Macaca mulatta: one gene and its partners. The protein of the gene in region 3 purifies or fractionates together with the protein of the main gene of each other region. This does not show direct contact. Links are inferred from orthologs where the notes say so. Each region holds a gene or a part of one and is shown on either strand. Other genes may lie near its edges. The genes, in order: AIFM1, FLNC, OTUD1 and FLNA.

Evidence for each region.
Region 1: the proteins of OTUD1 (region 3) and AIFM1 purify together in Homo sapiens (affinity purification with mass spectrometry; 3 studies listed by BioGRID, with this or other methods). This does not show direct contact. The link is inferred for Macaca mulatta from reciprocal best matches to the Homo sapiens genes OTUD1 and AIFM1.
Region 2: the proteins of OTUD1 (region 3) and FLNC purify together in Homo sapiens (affinity purification with mass spectrometry; 3 studies listed by BioGRID and IntAct, with this or other methods). This does not show direct contact. The link is inferred for Macaca mulatta from reciprocal best matches to the Homo sapiens genes OTUD1 and FLNC.
Region 4: the proteins of OTUD1 (region 3) and FLNA purify together in Homo sapiens (affinity purification with mass spectrometry; 3 studies listed by BioGRID and IntAct, with this or other methods). This does not show direct contact. The link is inferred for Macaca mulatta from reciprocal best matches to the Homo sapiens genes OTUD1 and FLNA.

Annotation. Positions count from the first base shown.
Region 1 is NC_133426.1:136,618,677-136,623,458, forward strand, and holds the start of AIFM1 (apoptosis-inducing factor 1, mitochondrial), read right to left. Parts: upstream 3,244-4,782; 5' UTR 3,152-3,243; coding exon 3,046-3,151; intron 1-3,045. UniProt on the Homo sapiens protein: Functions both as NADH oxidoreductase and as regulator of apoptosis.
Region 2 is NC_133408.1:168,478,505-168,482,632, reverse strand, and holds part of FLNC (filamin-C), read right to left. Parts: intron 4,047-4,128; coding exon 3,877-4,046; intron 3,659-3,876; coding exon 3,541-3,658; intron 3,451-3,540; coding exon 3,188-3,450; intron 2,797-3,187; coding exon 2,199-2,796; intron 1,490-2,198; coding exon 1,316-1,489; intron 1,194-1,315; coding exon 1,031-1,193; intron 751-1,030; coding exon 590-750; intron 1-589.
Region 3 is NC_133414.1:24,894,556-24,899,347, forward strand, and holds the start of OTUD1 (OTU domain-containing protein 1), read left to right. Parts: upstream 1-1,880; 5' UTR 1,881-2,277; coding exon 2,278-3,720; 3' UTR 3,721-4,792. UniProt on the Homo sapiens protein: Deubiquitinating enzyme that specifically hydrolyzes 'Lys-63'-linked polyubiquitin to monoubiquitin.
Region 4 is NC_133426.1:160,543,869-160,547,996, reverse strand, and holds part of FLNA (filamin-A), read right to left. Parts: intron 3,302-4,128; 5' UTR 3,186-3,301; coding exon 2,813-3,185; intron 11-2,812; coding exon 1-10. UniProt on the Homo sapiens protein: Promotes orthogonal branching of actin filaments and links actin filaments to membrane glycoproteins. Anchors various transmembrane proteins to the actin cytoskeleton and serves as a scaffold for a wide range of cytoplasmic signaling proteins.

The DNA of each region.
Region 1 (4,782 bases), on a different chromosome or scaffold from region 3:
AAAGTTAGAAATTTCTAGAAAATCTAACTTATTAACTGGTTACAGAAAAGGCTGAGTTGCCAAAGAATTTCTTCTGCAAAGCCTTGTCTCAGCAGAAAGAACGGGGAAAGACTAATCCTTTAGGCTTCAAAAAGAAGTCACATTTGGCAGTGTCCAGAAAGCCAGGATCCTTGCCCACAAGGAGCTCAGTTTCCTTTTTGAAGAGGTGAGAAGGATTCCGAATAGAGAAAAATGTTCAAACATTTGAACCTACAGTCAGGGAGTCGGTGATCAGTTTGATAACATGGGCGGCAGTGTTTGGTGACCAAACAAAATATTACAGAACAGAAAATATCTATTATCTAACCTATCTGCTCCTCTGTGTCTGAATGCAGACATAGAGTGTTGACTATGAGTTACCTTCAATCATTTCTGGAAGGAGGCAGAGCATCCAAATAAATAAAGTAAATAAACAGTAGCTATCATGGTTTTAAGGCAGAATGCAACATCTAATGGAAATGAACCTGACAATGGTGACAGATGTCAATGAGATAGTTGCAAGGCAGGTTTAAAGTTTAAAGGTTTGGGAGGCCGAGGCAGGCGGATCATGAGGTCAGGAGTTTGAGACCAGCCTGGCCAGCATGGTGAAACCCCCGTCTCTACTAAAAATACAAAAAATTAGCCGGGCGTGGTGGTGCACACCTCTAGTCCCAGCTACTCGGGAGGCTGAGGCAGGAGAATTGCTTGAACCCGGCAGGCAGAGGCTGCAGTGAGCCAAGATCACTCCACTGCACTCCAGCCTGGGCAACACAGCGAGACTCTGTCTCAAAAAAAAAAAAAAAAGGAAGTTTAAAGGTAAGGTGGAGGGAGAAATGGTGTATAAACGAACCTCGCTCTTTCTCACCTGTGCAAAAACACATGGTAGATGCTACTACATGAAAAAGAAATCAGATTAAAGGCAATTAGTAATCAAGCCACAAAACAGAGTTAATTCCTATAATGAGAGTATCAGAACTTCTTTTTGAAATTGTAACACTACCCTCACCCATTTTTAAAGGCAGGTGATGTCATACTTTGGTGCATGGCCAAAGGACAAAGAATAAGTGTATGCAAAGAGGTGGATGGATATGTCAGGAAGTCTGAATATATTCTACAGTAGACTGCCTTCAAACAAAGACATGCAGTGGAAAAAACCACTGGAGTCTGTATTTTTCAGTAGTTCTAACATCACCAACCACTTTCCAATGTCTAATACATCAACTTAACTTTGCAAATGCATATTTAATTGATGAGAACTTTTGGTCAGACTTTAGAATGCTGGTAAAAGTCGTGAGACTTAAGCAAAACAACTACTCAAAGTCTGAAAGGCCAGTGTGGATGAAAAAATTCAGGTTATTGCCGGGCGCGGTGGCTCACGCCTGTAATCCCAGCACTTTGGGAGGCCAAAGCGGGCAGATCACGAGGTCAGTACATCGAGACCATCCTGGCTAACACTGTGAAACCCCATCTCTACTAAAAATACAAAAAAAAAATTAGCCAGGCATGGTGTCGGGTGCCTGTAGTTCCAGCTACTTGGGAGGCTGAGGCAGGAGAATGGCGTGAACCCAGAAGGCAGAGCTTGCAGTGAGCCGAGATCGCATCCACTGCACTCCAGCCTGAGCAACAGAGCGAGACTCCATCTCAAAAAAAAAAAATAAATAAAAATAAATAAAAATTCAGGTTATTTCAGTTTCTGTGCAACAAGCACAGAGCACCATCATTTCAATGCACAAAACCCACAAAGATGACATCCATTGATAAGGCATTAGTTTAAAAGCTAAGCAGAGGTTTTAAGTTCCAAGAGCAATATGTCCCAGGACATAACTCAAATACACCTATCAGGAAACATTTTCATTGTGCATAGCAACTGGAAAAACTGTTCAAATGCACATTTGCAAAGACCCTAACAACCCAAGGAAAACATTTTCCACTTTTTATTTTTAAAGCACCCAGGTGTTTCTGTATTGTAAAAGCCTCAAGGATAACTTCCGACATTGCAAATGCCCTGGGGATGGACACTGAAAGATTACTGATTTTTTTTTAAAGCAGCTCCTACAGGTGGATCATTCATTGTCCCCATGAAGTAATGCAGTACGAAAATAAGCAGGCTCAAGCAATGCTCAGATAAATTCAGGGATATCTGATGTACAATGGGCTAATTACTGGGAAGAGACCCGAATTCATTAACTTTTTGGGGTCAACTTTAGGAAGCAGTATGGAGTTACAGCAAAGGGATTAAGGACCTGGAGACTAGCAAACTATCCTTAGCTCTACCTATTAACGATGTGACCTTTGGCAAGTAGTTTCACCTCTCTGTGCCTCAGTTTATTATCTATAAAATGAGTGGGTTGAACTTTACCACAAAACCCTTCCAGCTCTAAAATTTGATGGAACAACTTAACGGAGGACAAATACAATGCGTTCTGCAAACTGTTTCTTTGAAGCCTTAAAAACCACCAAGAACTACACGGCTCAGGCATCTCCAATTAATTCTGGGCCAATTCTCTATGTGTCTGGTGCACAACCGACCGACTCCTTACTTGCCTTGCACCGTTTCTATTTCACTGGGCATTCAAATCCATGGATCTCATCTATGGTTTGCGAGGCTGAGCAGATAATACCCTCATTTACACAAGAAACTTAGGCTTAGGTCTTAAACGTCCTGTTTAAAGTCTCATTCGGTAAATGATAAAGTCTACTTGACCTCATTGCTCTAAAAAGGGGGGTGGGGAATGGGGATGGCGGGGAGGCGGCGACGGCCAGTTGTTCTGGGATCCCTGAACAGCAAACGCTCCCCGGAAAAGGCCTCAGGCCGACTACTGGGTTCAAATCTCTTGAAGGTCAGGTCGGCATGGCTGAACCAATTCCTCCGCTTGCAAGACTCAGGGTTCGGAGTCTGCCAATTTGGAATTCACGCGACTATGTGTTAAGTTTCTCGGGGGACGCGAGGGTAGAGGGCTGCAACGCACAGAGAGCCTAAGGCGCCAGGCCCTTGGACTTGGAGGCTGCCTGGAATGGGTCAATCACCTGGGAGCCGGTTCCTCTGCCTCGGGCTTCGGACGCACACGGTCCGCACCAAGGGCACCAGCTTCTGCTTCAAAGCACCCGCCGCCAGGCCTCCACACCGGAACATTTCGGCGACCGCTATTCGGGTCCTCCTCCTTCCCTTTCCTCTCACGCACGACCGACGGGTCAAACACCGCGAGCCCCGGCCAGCTCCCCCTGTCTCTTCACACGCACACTACGCAGACTCCTCCTCCCAGCTCCGGGTGGGCATTGGACAGAGAAGCCGGCCTGCTAGAGCCGGGGAAGAGAAACGGCGACCGGAGGCCTACTGCGCAGGCGTAGCACTCGCTGCCACATTGCGATTGGTCCGCACGGCGAGAGGATTTGCGCATGCACTACCTGACTGCACGCTCGCAAAGACCTTGGCTCTAGGTAGCCAGTATTCGCGAGTTGGTGGCACGGTGTTGGACTGAACGAGTTAAGGAAGCTGTCCAAGGAGGGACTCGTGGGGCCGCTTTGATTGGCGGTTGTGCCTGGTGCTGTCGCTGTGTTGGTGACAGGAACTGATAACAGCATCTCACAGCAGCGTAGCCCCAGCACCGCACTTTGTTTTTTGGTTTTAGGCCACTAGTTACTTGATACTGAAGCCTTCCTGATTCTTTTGCTATGATCCAGATCCAATTTTTCCATGAGTCCGAGGCGCGGAACCTGGCTTCCCAGATCCGGCGTGTACTGCCATCTTTTACCAGTTGCCGGCTCTTTCCCACCCAACCCGTTTCGCGGACGAGTAATTCGGCGCTCTCCTTCCCGCCTGTCACCTTTATTTTTTAGTGCAGTTGTGTGTCCTAGATACTGTACCAGGTGCTACAGATACACACGGTCTCCTGCTGTGGTTTCAGGATGCTTGAGAGCAGGATGTTAGCAAAAAGCGTTTGTGCTTCTCAGACTTTATGGGAAGAGAAGTCTTCTAAGCAGAACTTTCAGTTATGGGAGTAAGGTGAGGGGCTGAGTATAAATAGGTGTTTTGACTCTGCCAGATATAAGCTAAATTGGAAATAATGTTTTGGCTGCATGCAGAGCATGAAATGTGCCTGTTTCAAATATTCAACTTACATATTCATTTAACAAGTATTTGTTGAGCATTTGCCTCTTGGATTGTACTATAAAAGGGGCTCTAGTGGGTATGAAAAGTACGGATGGTCCCCGACTTACCCCTCACAATGGTTCAACTTAACAATTTTTCGACTTTATGATGGGTTTAATGAGACCTAACCCCATGTAAGTCGAGGAGCATCTGGATTTAACCATGGTTCAACTTACGTTTTTTCGACTTTATGATGGGTTTGTCAGGGTATTAAATGCAGTTTTGACTTAAGATATTTTCAATTTACAATGGGTTTATTTGGACGTAGCATCTGTATAGGAAGTGGCCACTGTCTAGTTGGGGAGATGACATACACCGGTCATTGAAATTAATATCCGGTGTCGTGCCGGACAGAGCAAGAGAGAAGACTATGGGATGGAATCGCTATGGAAGAACTTCATACAAGAAGTTATTTGAGCTGTATCTTGAAGGATGAGTAGTAAAATTCAAATCGTGGAGGAAAAGGAATGATATTTCAGATGATGAATACTTTGGGACCAAAGATAACATTTTTCATTGTTAAACATGTTGACCTTGGATCCAGACCAACCCAGATTGAATCATGGCTCTGCCACCTGGGCAAGTCACTTAATTGTGCCTCATTTTCCTCATCT
Region 2 (4,128 bases), on a different chromosome or scaffold from region 3:
TCTCACTCATGTGGGTCCCAGGCCTGGAAGAGAAGGCCTTCCTAAATTAATAAACTGAAAATAAAATGTTTTTAAAAATGAAATGTATTTCTGACACTGTGTCTGAAATAATAAAAAGATGGGAAATTAGATAAGGGAAAATACTTCCAATTTCAGCAGTCCCAAGTCATGCAATATTTGAAAACATAACCTGTCCAGGCAGCTGGGCCTGCAGAAGGCAAGGGGAATTCTGCAGACGATGCGGGCAAGAAGGCCCAAGGCTGGCCTGAGCCACCAAGAGGAGTGGGCGGTGTCTGAGTTTCCAGACACACACTGAGCAGTGGACCTGCACAGCCGACGTCTCGAGCTCCAGGCAAGGGGCTAGGAGGCCAGAGCGTGTTCCTGGGATTGACTGGGGGGCTGTCGCATCAACCCTCACTGCCTGCCTCCTCCACGTCCTCCCTCTGGCTGGGCTCCAGCCCCGACCTGCTCTTGGCTATCCTCTCTATGAATGTTCTCATCTAACTTCCTTCCAGTTTCCCCCTTGTGGGGTGAGCATCCTGCATCCTCCCTTGTCTTCCCTGAGGCCCCGACCACTCTCTCTGCACACCTGGGATGGGCCGCCCCCCGAAGGTGATGTTGACGTCATAGTCTCCAGGGGTGAAGGGGATGTACTCCACAGTGCAGCTACCATCCTTGTTGTCCTTGCAGGACATCTTGGCTTCCGAGGGACCCTCGATGGCTAGGCCAAGGCCCCCGGTGCCGGCTCCCCTGAGAGATGACACCCCCCCATCAGCTTCATAAGACCAGTGAGTGAAGATGAGGGAGTAGCTGAATGGGGGGACAGGGAGGAAAGAGGGCAGGCCGCTGGGGACCCAGCTGAGGAGAAATGAGCCAGGGGCTGATCTGGAGTCCTGTCGGGGGGTCTGCTCCTGCCTCACCCCAGAGAGAGGATGGGGTGGGGCTGAGGTACAGACAGAGGGACGAGCAAGGAGGGCCAGGGGCTGGGAAAGGGTGGTCACAGGTTTAGGCTAGCAAATGGGGAGGATACCTGGTCTCCACAGTGAAGCGGTTGGCCTTGTTAACCAAGCCACCCTCCAGGCCTGGCCCGAAGGCCCGGACGCGGGTGGGATCACAGCCCTCGGTGACACCCACTCGGAAGGGGCTCTTGGGCACAGCGACCTCATCATACAGGACCTCCACCAAATGCACGCCTGGAAGCCAGCCACAGGGGCATCAATCAGGGAGTGTGCACCCCCACCACCCCTCCTGCCCCGAGCGCAATATCATCAGAGGCCGGCCCTGCCCGCTCGCCCGGCCCTCCACCGGCCCTCACCCTCCTCGTAGGCGGTGTACTGTACTCGGTAGGTGCCGTCCCCATTGTCTGTCACATAAGTGTCTGTCTTGGCCCCCGAGGGGTTGAGCACGCGAGCCGTCACGTGGTTGCCGCCTGTGGCTGTTAAGGATCTTGCATCCACAGTGAACTCAGTGGTCACCTCCCGCAGGACACCTGGAGCCCAGGGGTGGCATGCTCAGCAGGGGTGGGGGCAGCCTTCACACAGATGCTCCCTCTCCTCTCCCCCTCCTCTCCCTCTCCTCTCCTTCTCCTCTTCCCCTCCTCCCCCCTCCTCTCCCACTCCCCAACTCCCAGGCTGCTCCTCTGATCAGAGGCTGGGCCCCCTACCCTCCCCTGCACCTCCGTGAGCTCCAGCCTCTGCCTTCACTCCCTTCTCCATGTAGTGACATTCTCTGTTCACATGAGTCACCCACCAGGCTGTGGGCCTGGGTCTTGCATCCCTCTGCCGTGCCCCATGCCTGGCCAGGGTCTGGCCCCGGCAGATGGCCCATTCCCACTTACTGTCTCCTGACTCTTGTCATCCTCTACCCCAGAGCTTTCCCCCGCCCCCCTCCAGAGCAGAGTTGCAGCTTTTTGCATCAGAGCACCCCTTAAGCACATGAAAGAAGAGACCTCTCCAGGAAAACGCCCAGAGGCAGGTGCAGTTTTGCCACAAGAGCGGAGGCCAGTCTCCACTCCCAGTCTTCCCCTCCACTCCTTCTCTGGGGCTTCTGGGCCAGTAGGGACTTTAGGGCTGCCCTGAGAGCCCTCCCTTCATGCCAGGTGGCTCCGCCAGCCCTCAGCTCTGCTTCCCTCCCTCCCACTGACTATCCGGCTCCTGCACCTGCCACTTGACCTCACTTGGCTCCTCCTGACCACTCACCATGTGGCTCAACACCAGGCCCTGAGACCTTGACGCCACTGGTATCGACCGCAGGCTGCACATGGACGCGGGTGGGGAATTTGGGCACCGGATGCCCGCCATATTTGATGGTAATGGTGTAGGTGCCGGGGAAGGCAGGGCTGTAGGTGATGTGGTAGGTGCCATCCGCATTATTGTGAATCAGCACCTCGGCCTTGACCCCGGCATCCGACAGGATCTCAATGGTCAGCTCTGCCTCGCCTGCCTCTGAGCAGTCCACAGTGAAGGTGGCTGCCTCACCGGCCTTGCCGCGCTCCAGGCCCGGCCCACTGGCCCGCACCTTGCTTGGGTCAAACACGGGCCGGATGGTAGCTTTGAAGGGCGAGCCAGGGATGTGGGCTTCGGCAAACAGGATGTTGATGGTGTACTCGCCAGGCTCCGTGGGCAGGTAGCTGACAGCACATGAGCCATCACCATTGTCCTGGCACTCGATCTTGGCCTCGCAGGGGCCCTCCACGGTCAGCCCCAGGCCACCTGTGCCAGCCCCCTTGGTGTCGATGGAGAATGGTGCGGGGGTGCCTACCAGTCCACCCTTGAGACCGGGGCCGTAAGCACAGACCTAGGGGAAGAGGCAGGTGTGTGGGTTCCCTGCACCCGGCCTTCCCATCCCAGCCTTCATGGCCCCCACCTAACTCATCACCTCCAACTGTGGCTGCTATTGCAGACTGAGTGCTTATAACAATTCCAGGTGATGACATGGAGGCAGAGAGATGAAGCAATTTCCCCAGGTAGTGGACCTGGGATTCAAGCCCAGGTCTGACTCTAAGGCCAGGCTCTTAATAGCTAAGTTGTCTCCAAGGAAGGTGGTGGGGTGGGGCTGGTCTCAGTCCCACGTTCTTGGCTGTGCCCACTCCAGGCACATAAGTCCCTCTGGCCTCTGCCCGCTATGACTCTTCCAGCTTCCCGACAAGTCCCCAACTCCCAGCCCCAACCAGCTCCTATCTCCTCACCTTGGAGGGATCAGGGGGCAGGACACCCTCCACAGCAAAGGGGCTGCCAGGCACTGGGTGACCATCGTAGGTGATGTCCACCTTGTAGGGCCCCTCCTCCGGGGGCATGTAGCGCACAGCCTGGGCTTCCGCTCCGCCGCCTGGCTCCAGCTTGCAGGGGATGGGCCGGCGAGAGGGCGAAGTCATCCGCACATCCAGTTGGCCTTGACCGCCAGCCCCTCGTGTGTTCACAGAGAATGCTTGTTCCTGTCCCACAGCCACCTCTGCGTGGAGGACAAGTGACACCATGAGGAGACTCCGGTCCACCCCACCCGAACACCCCTCACTCCCAGGGTGGCTCTTGCCCCACTTACTGCTATTGAGGCCCTGAACTTTGATTTTGCTGAGGTCCAGCGGGGGTGCCACATTCACCACAAAGGGGCTCTTGGGGACAGGGTCCCCGCCGTAGGTCACTGTCACTGCCATGTTGCCCTGTTGGGTACAATGGTAGGTCAGAACTGGGTATAAGGCACGGTCCTGCAACATCCTGGTGGTGAATATGGGCTCTGAAGCTCAGATCCACCACAAGAGTGAGGGCAGGAGGCAGCGAAGGCATGGAGGATCCAGAACTGGTCCCATGGGACTGGAGGAGGGAGACCCAGAGCTCCGACAGTCCAGTCAGGCGGGGGCATGGGAGGGGCAGAGCGCACCTGCTGGACAGCGGTGTACTTGACAGTGTAGGAATAGTCATGGTTGTCTATGATCTCAAAGTCCCGCACAGCCTCGCCCTTGGCTGTCCCTGCAAACTGCACATCCAACTTGGCCTTGCCGGCTCCCTTGGTCAGCACCGTGAAGTGGGTGGGCTTCCCAACTTCCACACCTGAGGAGCCACCCAGAGATGTGGTGAGGGCCTGGTAGCCACTTAACCCCAACCTCGAGCCAGGCCCAGCCCCTGCCCAGAC
Region 3 (4,792 bases):
GCGTGAAGTGCTTCATGCACAGAGCAATAGATGCTCAACAAATCAGTGATGAAATCCAAGCATGGTAATTTCCTTTTCCTAATTAGCCATGAGCGCTTCAAGCTCCCAAAGGAGTAGTTACCAGAATTTGAAAAGTTAGACAGTCATTTACCTTCTTCTGAGTTAATTTACCTAACCGGCTGGAGTGACCTGAGCTGGGACCCTGCCAGTCATACCGCCCAAAAATAATTAAAAGCCCTGGCTACGGTCAAGGGACCTGGATAGTAATCTTGGCTTCACCACTATCTGACGAACCTTGGGAACTCGCTTTCCATCTACTCATTCACTTAGTAAATATTAATTAGGTCCAATTACGTGCCAGGTACTGTGTTAGGGAATGGAAATTTAAGAGCAAGACCCAAGTCTCTCAATTCATGGAATTCACATTCTACTGGAAAGGTTGGGGACCGGATTACAGCCTACATCACCTACAGGTTCAGTCTCCCTATCTCTAAAATGTTAGGACAACCTCTAGGTTCAATTTGAATGTTTGGAGCCTGTTAATTTAGCATTTGATCAAAGCTCAGAATACAGCAAAAGTCTCCCACTACCTCTGGCTTTCCCTTACAAAGGTGGGTATTACAAAAAGGCTCGGTAGAAGTATTTTCTATAGCCTATCTTGCCCCAGAAGGCAGGTCACGACTTTCTCTACCGCTTTTGACCTCTGGCTAGCAATCGCATCTATTTTCAAAAGGCCCTAGGTGATACTGCATTTGGTATTCTGAGAAAGGCTGTTTATAAAGGGCTAAAAGGCTTCCTTGCTTTCGCCCAAGCAGGTATTTGCCAAGTGACATAGGTCAGAGGTGCAGAAAAGTTGGTTTTGTCTTCGCAGGGCAGGAGAATCCACTAGAGGACTCACCCTTAACAGGTGGGTCCAAGGAAGTGCATAGAAAAGACGCAGTGGTAAAACTAGCTGGGCACCTGTAATCCCTGCCCAAGGCAAGGCTGAGGAAGGGGGATCGCTTGGACCTCGGAGGTGGAGGTCGCAGTGGGGCATGATGGCGCCACTGCAGTCAGCCTGGAAGGCAGAGCAAGACCTTGCCTTAAAAAGGAAAAGAAAAAAAAAAAAAAAGAGGAAAAGACTCGTGGTGCCAGGATTGGTGGCTAGGGCCTGTAATCCCAACACTTTGGGAGGTCAAGGCGGGAAACAACTTGAGGCCAGTAGTTCGATACCAGACTGGGCAACTGTAATAGTGAGACCCTCGCCTTAAAAAAAAAAAAAAAAAATTAGCCGGGGGCGGTGGTGCACACCTGGGTTGAGGTGGGCGGATCGCTTGAGTCCGGGAGGTCAAAGCTTCAGTGAGCTATGGACTGCGCCACTACACTCCAGCTTTGGAGATAGGTGAGACCCTCATCTCTAAAAAGATAAAAGAGGCAGTAGTGGATGCAAGGAGGGATGGTAGCCCATGACCATGCAGAGGCCAAACAGCATTCTGTTCTCCACACCCATGCCAGAAGCTTTCCTGCCAAGCAAGCTTTCCGAGCATGCTAACTCGCTCCAAGAAGCGCCCATCCCGCAGCACCCACTGCAGCCGCTGCGGAGAGTGGTGCAGCGCAGAAACCCGTGCCCAGGTCGGGGAAGCGGTCTGCGGGAGTCACGTGGGCGGGAGGCCCAGCCAGGAATTCCCGGACTGCTCAGGCCTCCGAGCCCCCGGCCTCGCCCCGCCCGCGCGCGCGACGAGGGCCACGCCCGTGACGTCGGCGGAGCGGAGCAGGGGGCGGGGCGCGGGCCGGAGTGGGCGGGGCGAGCCGACGCGGCTGAATCGGGCGCCGAGACAAGCCGCGCATTCCAGCGAGTCCACGTGACGCGGCCGCGAGGCCTGAGGTAAACAACCGCGGCCCCGCCTCCCGGGCCTCCGCGCGCACCGCGCTCCTCCTCGCCGGCAGGACGCGCTCCAACGAGGCGGGCGGCTTCCTCCGTGAGTCCCCAGCGGCCGCCGCAGGCCGGAGCAGCTGCAGCGGGCGCGACGCCCCGGGTCTGCGGGCTGAGCGCACCGGCAGGAGTCGAGCTCGCGTCCCGTCCCCGCCCCCCCCACGCTGTGGCGCAGCAGGAATTTGGCCGGGACCCGGGCGCTATTCGCGGCTGCTGACGCGCGGCGGCCAGCGGCCTTGCGCTCATCTCTATTCTGGGGCCGTTGGGTCACCGCGCTCCGCCGGCCCCCTCCCCCGGGCCCGGAGGGTGTGTCCCCCGCTCCGGGGCTCGCCGCGCCTATAAGGGGCCGAGCGGCGGGCAGGGACATGCAGCTCTACAGCAGCGTCTGCACCCACTACCCCTCCGGGTCACCGGGTCCCACGGCCGCCGCCCCCGCGCCACCCGCCGCCGCCGCCCCCACCTTCAAGGTCTCGCTGCAGCCCCCGGGAGCCGCCGGCGCCGCGCCCGAGCCCGAGACCGGTGAGTGCCAGCCCGCCGCGGCCGCCGAGCACCGTGAAGCCGCCGCTGTCCCCGCCGCCAAGATGCCCGCCTTCTCCTCCTGCTTCGAGGTGGTGTCCGGGGCCGCCGCGCCCGCCTCTGCCGCCGCCGGCCCGCCTGGCGCGTCCTGCAAGCCGCCGCTGCCGCCGCACTACACGTCCACCGCGCAGATCACCGTGCGGGCCCTGGGCGCCGACAGGCTCCTGCTGCACGGGCCCGAGCCCGCTCCCGGCACCGCGGGCTCCGCCGCTGCCCCGCGCGGCCGCTGCCTCCTGCTGGCCCCAGCGCCCGCAGCCCCGGTCCCGCCGCGGCGGGGCTCCTCGGCCTGGCTCCTGGAGGAGCTGCTGCGGCCCGACTGCCCCGAGTCCGCGGGCTTGGACGCGACACGGGAGGGGCCCGATCGGAACTTCCGACTGAGCGAGCACCGCCAGGCCTTGGCCGCCGCCAAGCACCGAGGCCCCGCGCCGACCCCGGGGAGCCCCGACCCCGGTCCGTGGGGCGAAGAGCATTTGGTGGAAAGGGGCCCTAGGGGCTGGGAGAGGGGCGGCGACCGCTGCGACGCTCCCGGTGGGGACGCGGCGCGGAGGCCCGACCCAGAGGCCGAGGCACCCCCAGCCCGGAGCATCGAGACCGCCCCGAGCAGCGCGGCGGAGCCGGTGATCGTCTCCAGGTCAGATCCCAGAGACGAGAAGCTGGCCCTGTACCTGGCCGAGGTGGAGAAGCAGGACAAGTACTTGCGGCAGAGGAATAAGTACCGATTCCACATCATTCCCGACGGCAACTGCCTCTACCGAGCTGTCAGCAAGACGGTGTATGGGGACCAGAGCCTGCACCGGGAGCTGAGGGAGCAGACGGTGCACTATATCGCCGACCATCTCGACCACTTCAGCCCCCTGATTGAGGGCGACGTGGGGGAGTTTATCATCGCTGCTGCCCAAGACGGGGCATGGGCTGGGTACCCGGAATTGCTGGCCATGGGGCAGATGCTGAATGTGAATATCCACTTAACTACTGGAGGGAGGCTGGAGAGCCCCACGGTGTCTACTATGATTCATTATTTGGGCCCAGAGGATTCCCTGAGGCCTAGTATTTGGCTCAGTTGGCTCAGTAACGGACACTATGATGCTGTATTTGATCACTCCTATCCTAACCCAGAGTACGACAACTGGTGCAAACAAACTCAAGTGCAAAGGAAACGCGACGAAGAACTTGCCAAATCTATGGCCATATCCCTATCCAAAATGTATATTGAACAAAATGCATGCTCTTGAAATGTCTCAAAACCTTACACCCTGGGAATAATTGCATACATAACTTGTGTTTGGAGAATCACATGAACTCTAATCAGGGTAATAGCACTTTCAAACTTGCTAGTAGATTTTATTGTAGGTGTAATGCCTTAATCATCTTTTTGAATGTTTTCTCGGAGCTGAAGGTTGCTGGGCCACCTAAATGATGTTTCATGATAGCTTTGGGTGATTTTATTGCTATTTATAATTTGCTGTATAAAGTGAGCACTACTTAATTTGCAAGCTGATTTCTCACAGTGTAAATTTGTTCATTCCTGGTAGTCTATTTTCTATAAAAATGTATTTTTGCACAACATTTTTAAAAACTGGTGTACCTTCATCTATGATGTGTTCAGGCATAAATCCAGAGAAGTGCTTTATATGAAATGTATTATTTTGAACAGAATTTGTGATTTGGTAGTTATTTTATGTTGTTGAAATTTGAATTTCACAATTCTTAGATAATTATTTCAAATGGATATTGAAACATTCTTGTTACCAGATGTTTGGCCCATTCCATTTTGATGAAACAGAGCTGTTGTTTTGGAAATCATTATTTTTCTAGAAATGGTGAATCTTTTAAAGAAAATTATCTAATGGAAGGTTGTGGGAAGGTGTTTTTTTTCTTTTTTTTCCTGTTTTAAGGGATAGTACCAGGTCTTACTTGAATGAAAGTCTGATATTTGCTGATGGCAGAATGGTTATTCTGTACCCTGGTTGATATGTAGAGTAGATCGTCTGGTGCTCTCAATTGTTTTTATTGACATTTGTTATTTTGTTATAAAGAGAATGTTAATATGGTATAAAACTCTGTGACAAGATAAGCCTCCTGCTTTAACTTCTTGGATCCAACTAAGAGATTTATAAACTAATGGCATAAATGTCTGGAGCCACCCTTGGCAGTTAGAGCAGGAGAACACTGTCTTAATATTTCTTTTACATTCTTTCAGAAGGTGAAATAGGATTGCCCTGTATTAATGTAGAAATGTCTGTAAACAGAGCTTGTATGGTTTGCTGGGTCAAACAATGTTTCCAACTTAAAATCTATCTCATT
Region 4 (4,128 bases), on a different chromosome or scaffold from region 3:
GCCTTGCTGTCTGTGAGTACAAGAGTGGCTACACTGGGCACACAGCTGTGCGGGAGGGGCCGCTCCCAGGCTTTGGGGTCATGGTCTGGTAGCACGGGATGGGGGGGCCAAGGAGGAGGGAGACACCCCGTCTTGACCAGTGGTAGGATGTGGATGAGGCCCTCTCTGCCCAGCATCCCAGGGGGTGTTCAGAAGTAAAGGAGACTTTGGGGTGAGGGGAGATACCCACAGACATGCGATGATAGCAGGGTATGATTACTGCCAGAAGCCCTGGGCCCAGAGGAAGGGCAGAGGGCAGACCCAGCCCACAGATGGTCAGCTCTGGAGAACAGCTGGACAGTGTCCACAGCTGCCAGAGCAGGGGTCTGCCACCCGCCTCAGGGGCCTATGGGGAACCAGGAGGAGGAGATTGGCTCCAGCTGGCCCAGAATCCAGGGCCCATGGCCTGGAGTGGGGCTGGGGCTGAGGAAGAGGAAGACGGGTGGCCCTGGGTGGTTGGGAAATACAACTGTTGTTCCAGGGTGGGTGGGGTGAGGCAGGGGAAGTGGGGGAGTTGGGCAAACACCCTTTGGGTAAAGGAGTGTGACCCCCACCACCACCTCCACTTCCTCTACTACCTCGAAGACCCAAGCTTGGAGCTGGGAGGCCACAGGCCCGGCCAGGGGAGAGGCCCAGAGCCCAAAGGAACCAGCAGTTGGGCCACATGGCCCTGACTCACTGGGGCCCATCGGGAGATGCCGGGCTGGCAGCAGGAGACACTGTGGGAACCCCCTTGCCACCCACTGCCTGACCCACTTGCCACCTAACGGGCCTGGGCCTCGGCAGGCTCGCCACAGGGGAAGTGGTTAGGGCGGGTCCCCGACACCCCCCCCATTGCCATGGCAACCCTGCTGGGCTCTGGGCCCCACCCAAAGCTACTTCTGGGTCTCAGGCTCAAGGCAGGATGGTTTGGGCTTTCTAAGAGCTCATCTTTAGAAGCTCTGTCAGCCTCTCCCATAATCAGACAAAATACTTCTCTGGTGAGTCAACTAGGGGGTGGGTCTATGAGGAGGGGCTGGGCCGTCCACGGCAGCTGCTTCCCAGCCCAGCAGGCAGCACCTGGAGGGCCAGGTGGGCCGCTCAAAGTAGAGTGGCCTCCCCAGTTCCCAGATTGGTCCTGGCCCCACGAGGCTGCCTTTCACTCTCCCTAAATGGCAGCGGGGAGAGGGGCTCAGAGAGGACTGAGGGTGCAAGGCCAGGGAACAAGGCCAGCCAGGGCTTCCCATCAGGCCCCCACCCCAATCCAGCCTGAGACCCCTTAACGACCCCCACACCGGGGGCAACCAGGCCCACCAGGTCCATGTTAGGCCAACCTACTCCGTCCCCATCCCCCTCCCAAAAGAGAGTGTGAAGGACCAGGGCCCAGGGCTGGGAGACTGCCTGGCTGGATGGCCCCGCCCCATCCCACCCCCTTTCCCCAGCCCCCGGGCCAGCCAGCCCCTCCCTCCCCTAATCACTGCTGCTTTCCAACATTTTTTTGCCTTATATGGCAAAGCTCTGGGAACTAGGCCTGCTCCAGCCAGCTCACAAGGAGGAGGGGAGCTGGGAGGAGGGAGGAGACCCCCCCCAAAGAACTGGGGTGTGGCCCGCCTCCCCACATCCGGTCGCCCCCCCCCCACACCATCCAGGACTCTGAAATGACTCAGCTTGGCTAGACTGAGGCTGGGACTTGGGGGGGTGGGCCTGCCCCTCGCCTCAACTGGCATTCCAAAGAAAGAACTTCAATTCTTGGGATCTGCCCTCTGAGTGGCTGGGGGAACCCAAGTCTTGGTCCCTCACTTTCTTGGGTTCAGCAAGGGCCATTCCAGAGCTGCAGGGATAACTGGAAGGCCTCTCAGTTCTGAAGAAGAGAAGAATCATCATCCCTCTCCTCTCCCTGTTCAACGTCACCCCCAAGTCACCCGTTCTGGTGCCTGCCCTTCCAAGCAGCCCCTATCTTGAGAAAGAACTGGGATGCTGCAGCAGGCCTGGTCAATGCCAGCCTCACCAGTCCAGTGACACAGACACTGGGCTGGCACAGTGCACGCCGGAGCATCTACCAACCAACTCCTGCGTGCTATACGCAGAAAAGCAAGGCCAACATGGAAGCAAGAATTTGTCCCAAGATGAACAGAAAAGTTGGCGTCCAAGTAGTCTACAAGCCAGGTCCCTCAGTCAACCACGCCCAACTCCGGGTACAGTTTTGCTAACTACGCTTCTTTCTGGCCCCCAGGTTCCCTGTGTGTGTGGGGGAGGTAGATCTAAACTGGTGGTTGGAGCCATCTCCGATGGGCGACGCATCCTCCAGGGACAGAAAGAGCCCAGAGTCCTAGACAATGGGACGCACGAGCTCCAACCCACACTTTAGAAACAAGGGGAGTCTGAAGCCAGAGGGCCCTCTCTAAACAGCTGTGGGGGGAGAGCCTGGGCCTCCTCCTCCTCGAGGATGGGGCGCAGGGCCAGAGCCTGCCCAGTGCCCGACCCCCCAGGCCCACTCCCACCGCGAGCACATCTGCGGGGGCGCGGCCTGCTGAGGATGTGAGTTCAGCCTGGGCGCCGGCCAGCCGGGGCGCGGCGGGCGGGGGCGCGTAGCGGTTCGCACGCCCGGCCGGCCAGCCCGCCAGCCCGCGCGCCTTTGTTCTCCAGGCCCGCGTGGAGCAGACCAGCCGGGGGCCTCGGGAGCTGCGCCGCAGCCCGGAAGGAGGTGGTTTGGAGGGGTCCGCCCGGGGGGATGGAAGGACGCACGGAATTCCCGCCCCCGCCCGCCCGCCCGGCGCTTCGGGGCGTCCCTCACCGATGGACACCAGTTTGATGCTCTCGCGGTCCAGGAACTCGAGCGCCACCGACACATTCTCAAGCTGCATTTGGCGGAAAGTGGGCCGCTGGTTGTGCTTGCGGTGCATCTTCTTCTGGCTGAGCACCTCCAGCAGCGCGATGAGCCGCAGCCCGTCGCTCAGGTCCGTCTGCAGGTTGGCGATGCGCTTGCTCACGCACTTCAGGTGCTCGTTGCACCAGCGCGTGAAAGTGTTCTGCTGGATCTTCTTCCACGGCGCGTCCTCCGCGAGGTCCTTCTCGGTGGCCGGCATCTCCGCGTCCCGCGTGTCAGCGCCACCACCCGGAGCCGCGCCTGCTGCGCTCTGGCCCGCCCGAGAGTGGGAGCTACTCATTTTGAGGCGCGAGAAGCCGGGGGGGCGGTGCTGCAGCCTCGGCGAGGGGACGGCCCTTTAATTAAAGTCGCAGGCACCTCGGCGCGCGGGAGGCGAGGAAGGAAGCAGAGGTTGCGCTGCGGAGAGAGCGAGCCCTTTAAATGCGGGCGGGGGGCGGGGCCAGGGGGCGGGCCTCCTGCGGGGAGGGGCCGTGGGGTGGGGCTTCGGGGGCGCGACTGCCCCACCCCGCCCCGCCCGTTGGAATGCCCCCACTAGGCCCCGGGCTTTGGCTGATCAGACGTGAAACCCGGGCTCCGGGGTGGGTCGCTGGGCCCTGGAGTGGGCAAGGATGCTCCCAGCCCCGCGGCCTCGCGTTGGCGCTGCAGGAAACGCGCCCCAGAGCGAGGAAAGGCTGAGCAGTATCTGGCGCGGGACTGCTTGGCCTGCAGCCGGCGCGCCTTACAAGGGACTTTCCTTCCCCAGGGCTCCTGCGAGGGGTGGGGTGGTTCTCGTCCCTAAGTCACTTGGGCTCTGCCCCGTCCCTGCACAACCCTACCCTCCCACCGTCATCCCCTTTCCCCGGGCCCCCAGGGCCTAGGGTTCCCGGGCGGCATCCCGGTCCGCCGCCCCGGCAGCGGCGGGAAGGGGCCAACCCTAAGAGCGAACCCCTGGAGAGCGGCGGCCCCGGACCAGGCACTGCCGAGGGCCCTTTGTGTGCGCATCACCTGGGAAGCGGCTGCAGGGCAAGGCCTGCGCCTACGCGGTCCCCGCAGACCCCCTGCCACGGGCCTGCCTTCCCAGTCTGTAGGGCCCTCGCCTGCGCACCTGTGCCCGCTGCTTCCCACCGCCTCCCTCTCTGCTTCCCTCCACCCGGGAGGATATGGGGCACTGGGCCAGGAGGCCGCCGACACTCCAGGAGCAAGTAACCTTTGAAGGGGTCCGGGCGTGCCAACGGGCACGCCAG